Sus scrofa: one gene and its partners. The protein of the gene in region 1 purifies or fractionates together with the protein of each later gene. This does not show direct contact. Links are inferred from orthologs where the notes say so. Each region holds a gene or a part of one and is shown in the gene's direction. Other genes may lie near its edges. The genes, in order: NUDCD3, KLHL9 and FKBP5.

What was found.
Region 2: the proteins of NUDCD3 (region 1) and KLHL9 purify together in Homo sapiens (co-immunoprecipitation; 3 studies listed by BioGRID and IntAct, with this or other methods). This does not show direct contact. The link is inferred for Sus scrofa from reciprocal best matches to the Homo sapiens genes NUDCD3 and KLHL9.
Region 3: the proteins of NUDCD3 (region 1) and FKBP5 purify together in Homo sapiens (affinity purification with mass spectrometry; 3 studies listed by BioGRID and IntAct, with this or other methods). This does not show direct contact. The link is inferred for Sus scrofa from reciprocal best matches to the Homo sapiens genes NUDCD3 and FKBP5.

Annotation. Positions count from the first base shown.
Region 1 is NC_010460.4:50,825,043-50,828,042, forward strand, and holds part of NUDCD3 (nudC domain-containing protein 3), read left to right. Parts: intron 1-80; coding exon 81-269; intron 270-3,000.
Region 2 is NC_010443.5:201,588,943-201,593,132, reverse strand, and holds the start of KLHL9 (kelch-like protein 9), read left to right. Parts: upstream 1-1,302; 5' UTR 1,303-1,863; coding exon 1,864-3,717; 3' UTR 3,718-4,190.
Region 3 is NC_010449.5:31,547,028-31,551,161, reverse strand, and holds the start of FKBP5 (FK506 binding protein 5), read left to right. Parts: upstream 1-1,331; 5' UTR 1,332-1,438; intron 1,439-4,134. UniProt on the Homo sapiens protein: Immunophilin protein with PPIase and co-chaperone activities. Component of unligated steroid receptors heterocomplexes through interaction with heat-shock protein 90 (HSP90).

The DNA of each region.
Region 1 (3,000 bases):
CCCTGCCAGTGCCCCGACTTCCCCTCTGGGTCCCCAGCGCCGCCTCCCCGGCCCTGACTGTGTCTGCCCCCGTGTGCCAGGTGAGCCTGAACAAGGTGGGCGAGTACTGGTGGAGCGCCATCCTGGAGGGCGAGGAGCGCATCGACATCGACAAGATCAACAAGGAGCGCTCCATGGCCACGGTGGACGAGGAGGAGCACGCCGTCCTGGACAGGCTCACCTTCGACTACCACCAGAAGCTGCAGGGCAAGCCGCAGAGCCACGAGCTGGTACGGGCGCCCACCCTTCGCAGGTCGTCCTGGGCCCTCACGTGGGCAGCTCTGGCCTGGTCTCCCCCTAGGCCGGGGCTCTGGTTCCACCGCTGGACAGGGAGCCCGGGTGGCAGAGCTGCAAGGGGCCTGGCCGCGGGATCGGGGCCCTGTCGTTCCTAGCTCAGTGCTGGGGCCGTCCAGGCAGATCCCCCGAGCCCCTCCAAGACCCTCAGCAGAGGGAGGACGGCCAGGCCCGGCGTGCTCAGGGCCAGTGTGCGGTCGAGCACAAAGGGGCCATGGGGAGGAGGTCCCTCCGAGTCGCTTGGACGTCAGAGGCCTGAGCGTGCGTGTGGCTGGCGGGCGCGGGGGCCGAGGAGGTGAGTGCAGAGAACAGGATCAGGTGGCAGGCTGCCTTCTGTCTCAGTAATCCCACGAGTGGCTGTTTGGAGGAGAGAGGGTTGTGTGTCTCAGGTTATTTTTAGCTCCCAGTGTCCCACGTGAACAGCACCGGGAGTCGAAAGTCCGGCGCGGTGGGAACAGGCCAAGGTGAAGCACGTGTCCCGTCCGGGGAGGGCGGGCGTGGGGCTTGCTGGGCGCCACGGCCCCTCTCCAGGGTTTGGCTGCTCATGTGTCAAACACAGCGCTCCCCCCAGGACCGCTGAATGCCGTTCGGGTTCTTGGGTGTCCTGTTTGTCCCCTGGGGGCTGCACGGTGAGTGTTTCAGGCCTGTGGCTGCCAAGGCTCCTGCCCACGTGCCTGTGGGTCTGTCTCCGTCCTCCTTTCATTCAGACCTGGACACACACGGCCCACCTTGCTCCTGCGGGGGCCGCGGGGCCGTGGAGGGTGCGCTGGGCGCTCACTGCTCGCAGGTTTGGTGGGGTTGCCTGGGACACAGTCTCCATGGCAGCCCGAGTGGAGGGTCGAGGGTTAAGGGTCACAGCGCACGTTCAAGGTCCCAGAGCTGATCTGACAGCAGGGCTGGCGTTTGACCCCTGCGCTGGTTCAGGCCTGTCTGTCTTCTCTCCCTGAGTCTCTGCATCTTTTCTCGGTGTGGCTCCCTGACCCACCGGGGCGTATGGGGCCGGAGGCTGGGGCTCCGGGTGACCTTTGGGTCACAGGCACGTTAGTGGTCTCGTCTTTGGAAAGTGATGTCTGGTGTAATTGCTGAGCTCGCAGGGTCCAGGACTTGAAGTGCAGCTCCCCTGTGTGCACATTGAAGTGGCAGCTTTGGTCCAGTCTCACTGTGTTTGCCTCTGGCCACCGGATGAAGGAGCATCTGAACACTGGCCCGACAGGAGCTGGGCTCGTGCAGCCACTGGAGGGGGGGTGTCTCTGCCCCAACGTGGGCAGCACCGGCCGTGAGGCCCAAGTAGGAAGCAGCTCGGGAATGGGGCTGACCGATCAAGAAGGAGCTGAAGAAGAGCCATGAGGACGCTGCAGTCTAGTGGAAAGACCTCTGCGGTTTGAGTCCAGAGAGATTCTGGAAGGACTTGCCGTTTCCCATCCCAGGCAGTGTGCCGACCGTGAGCCAGTGAGAGTGCCTGGCAGAGTGCAGTGCCCTGCGAAGACCTTCGGCGGACACATAGAGCCCATGGCTGGTGGCAGGACCCAGGGATGACCCTTCGTCCAGCTGGCCTGCTCCTGGACAGCCAGGGCCCCCAGCTCCCCGCCCCTCACTGGAGACAGTCAAGGGCTGATGTCCAGGGCCCTGGTGAGGGAGGTGGGCGGGGGTCTGAGGGCACGGCCCTGTGCCAGCCCTGCTGCCTGGGACTCACCGGGCTTAGCAGGGATTCGGGGAGGAGTATCTGCAGATGGGGCCTGGCCTCCCAGGGTCCCACGTGCACCTTCCTCAGCACCTGGGCCTTGAGGGAAGCCCAGCCTGGGGAGCAGGTGCTGAGAGAAGCGTGGAGGCTTGAGGACCTGGTGGAGCTGGCGTGGCCTGGTGGTGCGGCAGCTGGACTTTCCAGTGCTAAAGGCCTTGCAGCCATGCACAGTTGAGTCGGTGGTCTCCGTGGGCCCCGGAGGAAAGCACCCCCAGGAGAGGAAGGGACTTGGGGCTGGAGAGTCAGCAGGACCAGCTGGTGGCTTCAGATGAGGGCTGTGAGGAGGGAGGAGCCGCTTGAGAAAGGAGGTGGTGGCGGTGAGGGGCCCAGGGCTCCCCGTGAAGCTGGAGTGCGGGCCTGTCGGCCGCCTGTGACAAGGCTGGTGCATGGGGACGTCGTCATGGGTCGGGGCTCAGCGCAGGCTGAGTGAGAGACCGAGAAGGGGGCCTTCAGAGGGGGCGGAGGGCGGGAGCTCGAGGAGGGGATGCAGGAGGAGGCCTGGCTCGGCGGGCGGCCAGGAAGCTTGTTGCCGGGCGACAAGGTGTCACCTTGTGACTCTGCTGGGGACGGGAGGCGGGACGGCGGTGGGGCCCTGGGCTCTCTGGTCACCTCCTCCGTGGAGGCTGCAGTGCCCAGCCCTCCGAGTGCTCTGTCCAAGGTCCTGTCATGTGCTGTCTGCTGGGTCGGGAGTGACATCCGTTAATCCCTGCTCCGCGCTGCGGGTCTCTGACACGTTTGCTGCCGTGCACTTACTTAGGCTCAGTAACAGGGAAAAGGAGGCGCCTGTCAGGAGTCCCGCAGCCTCGTCCAGTACCAAGGATGTCCCCTCAGCTCTGTCGGCCTAGAGGCCGGGGGTGGGCAGGCCCTTCTGGCCCCCAGGCAGTGCGTGTTTTCGTTTCTCCCTGTCAGAAGGAACAGAAGGTGGC
Region 2 (4,190 bases), on another chromosome or scaffold:
GACTATATAGTCATCAATTTGCATATGCATGAATAAAGTGAAAGGATTTAAAAGACAGTAATAACTTCAAACTGGAAAATTTTGGAAGCAGTGTGTCAAAGTATACATTTATTAATATGCTCAAATCTCAATTTCTAGTAATTTTAAAAATGTAAATTCATCAACTATCCTTCAATTTTTTAAAATGTTAAGTTAGTAAAATATCCATAAAGGGAAAGATCAGTAGAGGGGAAATGTGTACTCAAACACTGCTGATGATATTTTGGAAAAAAAAATTTTATATGTCTTCAATCATTATTCTGCTTTTTGGATTTATCCAAAAACAAACATAGTTTTGTGCCCAGATTCTATAAAACAGTGGAGGACAAGAAGGTATATATTTAGGAACAGGTGATGGGTAAAGTAAACCATAGTATGTGTAGTTATCTCACAACTGGATTATCTATTTAAAATTTTCTTTTTTTTGTCTTTTTGCTATTTCTTTGGGCCGCTCCCACGGCATATGGAGGTTCCCAGGCTAGGGGTCGAATCGGAGCTGTAGCCAATGGCCTACACCAGAGCCACAGCAACGCTGGATCCGAGCTGCGTCTGTAACCTACACCACAGCTCACGGCAATGCCGGATCATTAACCCACTGAGCAAGGGCAGGGACAGAACCCGCAACCTCATGGTTCCTAGTCGGATTCGTTAACCACTGCGCCACGACGGGAACTCCTATTTAAAATTTTCTGATTGGAAAACAAGAGCAGGAAAAATTTACTGATAATAGAATTCCATTGGGAGGCAAAAATTCAGACTGTTATTTACATAGCGTGGTCACAATTTGCTATTTAAAAAGAGGCACGTGACGTTTTAAATGATTTAAATCTGAAAATATGAACCAAGGCTATAATTAAAGTGTTCATTAATTGTGTGGGGTAAGAATCATAAAGATTTTTTTTATAGAGGAAGAACTTTAAGATCTTCCCCGTTTGCCACCATTTATCAGGTTTTCTTTCAGTTTCTACTAGAGCCGCATTTCATTGTTATGCAACAGGCAGAAGCCAGGAAGTGTAAATCCCAAAGTGTTCATTTAGGGGGAGCGTTCAGCTGCTTTGAAAGATTTATACCAAACACGATGAACGTGTACCCACTCCGGCTTCTTTAGCCGCTCTAAGTAAACCGAAGAAGCCCCGCCCCTGCCCACACAGCACAGCCCCCCACTTGCACAAAACCCGCCCTTCCAGTCCCCCTTGCCCTTCCTCTCATCCCCCACACTCCCGCCCACTGACAATGTCAGGCAGCCGCGCAGCCGCAGTATTTGCGACGGCCGCTCCTAGCCCGGGGCATCCTGGGACAAGGCCTTTCCGGAAGGAGCGGCTCCGCGTCCCGGGGCTCGGCCCGTTTCCCAGGCCCAGGCCGCTGTTCCAGGCCCCTGCTCAAAGACGGGTCCGTAGCCGTGGCGACGCACCAGGGTTAGTGGAGGGCGAAGCGGGCTGCTCGCTGAGGTGCCCGGCCTCGCCGCCGAGCGAGCCGTGGAACCGCAGGACGTGGCGGCACCTCCCCCCCCTTTGCCGGCAGCGGAACTGCAGGAGGAGCGGCAGCACAGGCCGGACGAGGTGAACCGGGTCACTTAACTGCTTTCAGGTGTTGAATCATCTACATAATAATCAGATTTGAGGTCCACAGCCCTTTGTGGTCCTGCTGCAGAACAATATTCAGTGTATGACTGGTGTGTTCTGAGAGGCGCCACGGCGATTGTTTGCCCTTGTTGATAAGGAACGCGAGCTCTCTTGCTCTTGGGACATCCTCGGTTCCTTTAAAGCTTGCAGGTCGTAACCTCCTTGTCCGGCATACATCTTTGTGCAACAGGAAGGCTTTCACATGAAAGTGTCTCTTGGTAACGGTGAAATGGGCGTCTCTGCCCATTTACAGCCTTGCAAGGCAGGAACCACACGGTTTTTTACCAGCAATACTCACAGTTCGGTGGTATTGCAAGGCTTTGATCAGCTTAGAATAGAAGGATTGCTTTGTGATGTGACTCTGGTACCAGGTGATGGAGATGAAATCTTCCCTGTTCATCGAGCTATGATGGCGTCTGCTAGTGATTATTTCAAGGCTATGTTCACAGGTGGAATGAAAGAACAAGATTTAATGTGCATTAAGCTTCACGGTGTGAACAAAGTTGGTCTGAAGAAAATAATTGATTTTATTTATACTGCAAAACTTTCTCTTAATATGGACAATCTTCAGGACACACTTGAAGCTGCCAGCTTTTTGCAAATTCTACCTGTTTTGGACTTCTGTAAAGTGTTTCTTATTTCAGGAGTCTCTTTAGATAACTGTGTTGAGGTTGGACGAATTGCTAACACCTACAATCTTATAGAAGTAGATAAATATGTCAATAATTTCATCCTGAAGAATTTTCCTGCATTATTGAGTACTGGGGAGTTTCTAAAACTCCCTTTTGAACGGCTTGCCTTTGTGCTTTCCAGCAACAGTCTTAAGCACTGTACTGAACTTGAGCTTTTCAAGGCTGCGTGTCGCTGGCTAAGGTTGGAAGACCCTCGGATGGATTATGCTGCAAAATTAATGAAGAACATTCGATTTCCACTGATGACACCACAGGATCTCATCAATTATGTGCAGACAGTAGATTTCATGAGAACAGACAATACTTGTGTGAATTTGCTTTTGGAAGCTAGCAATTACCAAATGATGCCATATATGCAGCCAGTGATGCAGTCAGATAGAACTGCCATTAGATCTGACTCTACCCACTTGGTTACATTAGGAGGAGTTTTGAGGCAGCAGCTGGTTGTCAGTAAAGAATTACGGATGTATGATGAAAGAGCTCAAGAGTGGAGGTCTTTAGCCCCCATGGATGCTCCTCGTTACCAGCATGGCATTGCTGTCATTGGAAACTTTCTTTATGTTGTTGGTGGTCAAAGTAATTATGATACAAAAGGAAAAACTGCTGTTGATACAGTTTTCAGATTTGATCCCCGGTATAATAAATGGATGCAGGTTGCATCATTAAATGAAAAGCGCACATTTTTCCACTTAAGTGCTCTGAAAGGGCATTTGTATGCTGTTGGTGGGCGAAGTGCAGCTGGTGAACTGGCCACAGTAGAATGTTACAATCCAAGAATGAATGAGTGGAGCTATGTTGCAAAAATGAATGAACCCCACTATGGCCATGCTGGAACAGTATATGGAGGCTTAATGTATATTTCAGGAGGAATTACTCATGACACTTTCCAAAACGAGCTCATGTGTTTTGACCCTGATACGGACAAATGGACACAGAAGGCTCCAATGACTACAGTCAGAGGTCTGCACTGCATGTGTACAGTTGGAGATAAGCTCTATGTCATTGGTGGCAATCACTTCAGAGGAACAAGTGATTATGATGATGTTCTAAGCTGTGAATACTATTCACCAACCCTTGACCAGTGGACACCAATTGCTGCCATGTTAAGAGGCCAGAGTGATGTTGGAGTTGCCGTCTTTGAAAATAAAATCTATGTTGTAGGTGGATATTCTTGGAATAATCGTTGTATGGTGGAAATTGTCCAAAAATACGACCCAGAAAAGGATGAGTGGCATAAAGTTTTTGATCTTCCAGAATCACTTGGTGGCATTCGAGCTTGTACTCTCACAGTTTTTCCACCTGAAGAAAACCCTGGATCACCTTCTAGAGAATCACCTCTATCAGCACCTTCAGATCATTCTTAGGACCAAGCTGTAATACTTTTGCAGTGCATCATGGATGATCCCATACTTCCACTTCAGTTGTATCTTCTTACAGTGATTGGTACAGTTATTAGATTAAAGAGGTAATTGATGTAATTTGTATTGTTTGGCTTAGTATGTTTATCAAATGGTTAACAATGCATTTTAAAAATGTATTCAACATAGCTGTTTTAGCAAATGTAAAAAGATAAGTAGAACAGTGTTTGTTAGATGTCTTTTTGTGGTGTTGTGTAAGTCAAAGTTTAGGTGATGGTAGTAAGTGTATATAATTATGTTTATTATGCTTCAAAGATGCTAAGTTTTCATCTTTTATGTCAAAACATCAAAGGGAGGCTGCTTGCCCTAATCTAAAATAATAAGCAGAAAACGTCTCCAAGTCTTAATAGCTACCTCCCTTTTTTCATGGAGTTTTTGACAGCTGCCAACTCCCCAGATTGTGTAGGTACATTCAGAAT
Region 3 (4,134 bases), on another chromosome or scaffold:
GCGACGGTTCTCCGGGTGGGATTTTCCCACTTCTGAGAGACAACTTTGAGTTCCTGGTGGTGTTTCCTGGGGCTAACCTGGCTTGCTTACCTGACACAAACAGCCTGGCCTGCCCCTCTCCATCCACGGGGCAGGTTGGGTGGGCAGGAAGGGGGACAGAGTTTTCAGGGAGAGACCCCGTTGTTAAGTCAACAAGCTTATTTAGGCATTAATTTCCCTGGAGGCAAGGAACGGTGTGAGGGGGTGTGGGTCAGTTTCCTTCATCCCTTGCCTCCAGCCCCCACAAAGGGCAAGGGCCAGACACGTGGGCTGGCGTGGAGAGGCGGAGGTTACACCAAGGCGGAGGTGCAAATGGACGGGGGCGGGGCCTTATTTGCATGGACAGCGCGAGGCCGCCAATCCGAACAGGCAGAGCGACAGCCCGCGCGCCTTTTGGGGGCGGACTGACGGCCCCGGGGCCCTATGGAAGGCGGGTCCTACGGCCGGCGGGGGCGGGACGGCGCCGGGCGCTGCCCGGGGGATTCGGGCCGGTTCGCAGGCGCTGCCAGTCTCTGGAGGCGGCGGCGTCCGGCGCGCGGGCGGCCTGCTGGGCGGGCTGAGGGGACAGCTGCGTGCGGGTGAGGCGGGGAGAGACAGAGCAGTAGAGCAACCCCGGCGACAGGTACCGGCGCCATGGCCGCAAGGATGGGGCGGGTGGTCGTGGAGCTCCGGGAGCCGAATTCCTCCTTTGCGGTCCCGCCGCCTTCCCGCTCCGCCTCCCCGCCTCCTCATGCGGCTCCCCAGTCCGGGAACGGCGCGTCGGGGAGAGAGGGGCCGGGGAAGCCTCGAGGCGGACGCGCCGGAGGTCCCCAGCCCGCCGCGGGGCTCCTTTGCGTCCCGCCAGGCCGCGGGGCCGGGGTTCCCTCCTGGAGGCGCGGAGCCGGGCGGCCGCGAGAGCCGCTCCCCGCCCCCGCCGCGCTCCCCCTCGCGGAGGCGAGGCCGGTGGCGCCCGCTGGTCCTCACCCGGCTTTTGTTTCCCGCCCGGGGTGACAGGTCCCGGGCTCCGGCTCGTCCGAGGCCCGGCGCCGGTGACTGCGGCCGGCCGGAGCAGGCGGCGGGACTGGCGGGAGGGCCGGGCGGCGCGTGAGCAGTAGCCGCCGCGGGCGGGAGAGAAACTTCGCCTTCCGGGCCCGGGCGGCGGGAGAAGTGGAGCTGGGGTGAGCCGAGCGTCGGGACGCCGCGGGCACGATGGAGCCTCGCTCACCTGGCGGGGCCCGCGCAGGGCGAGGATAACGGAGCGTCCGGCCGCCGCGGTCCTGGCTTTCGGTTTGCGCTCCCCGGGCGGTGGGTGTGGATGTGTGTTCGCCGCCTTCACCTGCAGACCCGGGACTGGTGACTGGAACAGCATTCCCGCTCTCGGCCGCGCTTAGAGGGTGCCAGGGCCGCTCAGTTTGAACAGGTGATTATTTTAGTGCCAGGTGAAGGCCATTGAGGAGTTTTAGGGCTCCGTATTCAATTCACTCCGGGGCGTTAGAACGCATCTACCCTTAATGACTTCTAAAAAGGGGTGCTGGTTGCAGTAGAGGAGTCAAACTAGTTCAATTTTTTAAAAACTGGGCGGGGGCCGGGAGAGCGAAGGCGAAGTTTCTCTCCCGCCGGGAGAGAACCTGCTTCACACGGACGGGCGGGGAGGAACGTCGTAGTCTCAGTTTGAAAATGGGCTTCTGCAGCGGTGGCGAAAGCATGGTAAGGTACAAGTTGTAAATGGAGAATGCAGAACTCTAGATATCCCTCTGTGTGGTTCAGGACAGCGTGTACAGCCTTTGGCCGCCATTCAGTAAATTCTGCATGAAGCAGTTTGAGCTCGTGGTTTTGGATTTACTTTACAGGAGTGGAATAAGGCTGAGCATTGAATGGGAGCTTTCTTTGCTTTTCTGAGGGCACACAGGAGTGTTTATGTTCATTGTCTTCCCATTTTGTTAGATTGCGGACCAGGGCAAAGTTAAGGCATATTTTGGTTGAGTGTTTTTAATTGTCTCTGGGAATTCTCCTTCCCCCACCGTTCCACCCCTGCCCCTCAGAAGAGGTCTCCAGAGAATTAGAGTAACTTTTCCTCTTGGGCGTTTGAGTCCAAATTCAAAGATGGATGTGAAAACTTATTCTTGTGGGACGTTTTTGTTTGTCATACTTAACATTTTCTGTTTCTGCCTCTCCCATCTGACCTCTGCTTAACACTCTGCAGTTATGGCCCTGACCAATTTAGGGCACCTATAGGGAAAAAAAAGTTTTAAAATAATATGTAGTAATTACTTAAAAATATGTTATGAAGGTTACTAATGACGTATTGGATAAACAGTTGATTTAGATTTTCTTTGCTAATATGTCTTTTTGATGTCTGTGCTAGGTATGGTTTATACTTAGATGTAAGTTTAACTTAGTGATAAAGTTATACTTCTGATTTAGTATGCTACTTTATTAGTGTTTCGTTGAATAGTAATTTTAGTTATTTAGATAATTAGTGACACCTTTTAAAGGTGAACTCTAACCAATAAGCTAATTGTGACTATTGGGGATTAAAAAAAAAAGCAAAACAAAGTGGTCTTTATAAAATGTTTTATTTCTTTAGAACAACAGGCTTATATGCTGAGAGGTCCTTGTCTTTCAAACATTTAACAAAACAAGTATGTTTCTGAATCTTTAATTTTTTAGGGATGGGAATTTGGGGTGAATTTCTTTTTTAAAACAATTTTAATCAGTTCAACGTGACTATTTTAAAATATTAGATTAGACAACTAATGAAATCTTCAATTTTCTGTTTTTTCTTGGATTGAATAGGTTGTTTAGTTTCCTCAAGGCTTCTTAGCTTAGAACGAATCGGTCTAGGAAAGGAAGACCATCCTTGTATATATAGGTGTAGAAGTAATTTCTATTGAAAGCTGAGTTGCCTTTTTGATGCTTAGTGAAGGTTGAATGGTTGAACAGTGACTTGTCCAGAGTGGATTTGATTCTATATAAATAGACTTGAAGACTTTTATGAGACCCGGGCTCTCATGGTTCTGAGCGATTTATGTAATTAATTGTTCTTTAAAGTGTATGGGAATATTAGTTTAACTACTGTGTGTAATTAGTTATAAAATCTTTGTCCTGTGATGATGCTTAAATATACCACATATCATAAAGCTACATTTCATAGTTTCATTTACACAAAAGCATATTTTGGGAACTTTAACTATAAAAGTGACTTTTAATTAAAAGATTGCTTTCAGATTCAGTTTTTACACACTTTAATTGCTGATTTTTGTCCCCTTTAACTTTGTTTACTTTAACTTGTGGTAGACCATATCATAAAATTATCAGCCACATTACAGTTTCAAATTTAAGCATAAGTTGAATTATCGCATCTACACAGTTTACATTGGGAATGTTTTTGTCATTAACCCTCAGGTGTGGCTCCCTTTGAGTTTGAGGCTGGGAAAATATTTTTTAACGAGTAAAGCCACAAAAAAACCGGAACACATTAAACCAACTAAACTTGAGGATAAATCTCACAATTCAGATATTAATACTGTTTTATTTAACAGTAATATGCTTGCTGTATCTCTCATTAATAGTCTCTGTAGGCCTTTAATGTAATTTTTCACAATTCCTAATAAAAGCCTATAGTTACATAATTTGGCACACTAAATTTGTAATTATTTTATGCTGAACAGTTACATGTTCTATACATTTTATAATTCTGAAACTATTTGAACTTTTAACCTAGCTGATTAGAAATTAGATTTTTTTCATTTTACATTCTGAATTTTTTTTTTACAGTGTTTTTTAACTACTGAAATTATGTCCCCAAAAGTGTAAGGGACATTAAATGTACATTCATCAGAGATTAGGCGGCCATTGGTAGGTACATCACATGATTATTGACTTAAAAGCAATAGCCACTGAAGTGCGATTTTTTTTTTTTTTTTTTTTTTTTTTGCGACTAAGATGTTTGTTTATTGTGTAAAAGACAGGTCTGCCAAATGAGACAGGTTAAAATAATTTATAGTAGGGCCTTGTGTATATGTAGCTAACAAGTTAGTAAGGATATTTCAGTAGTATTTGAGACACTAAAATTCAAGTACTCGAAGTAATTTATATCTCATAATTTGTCATGAT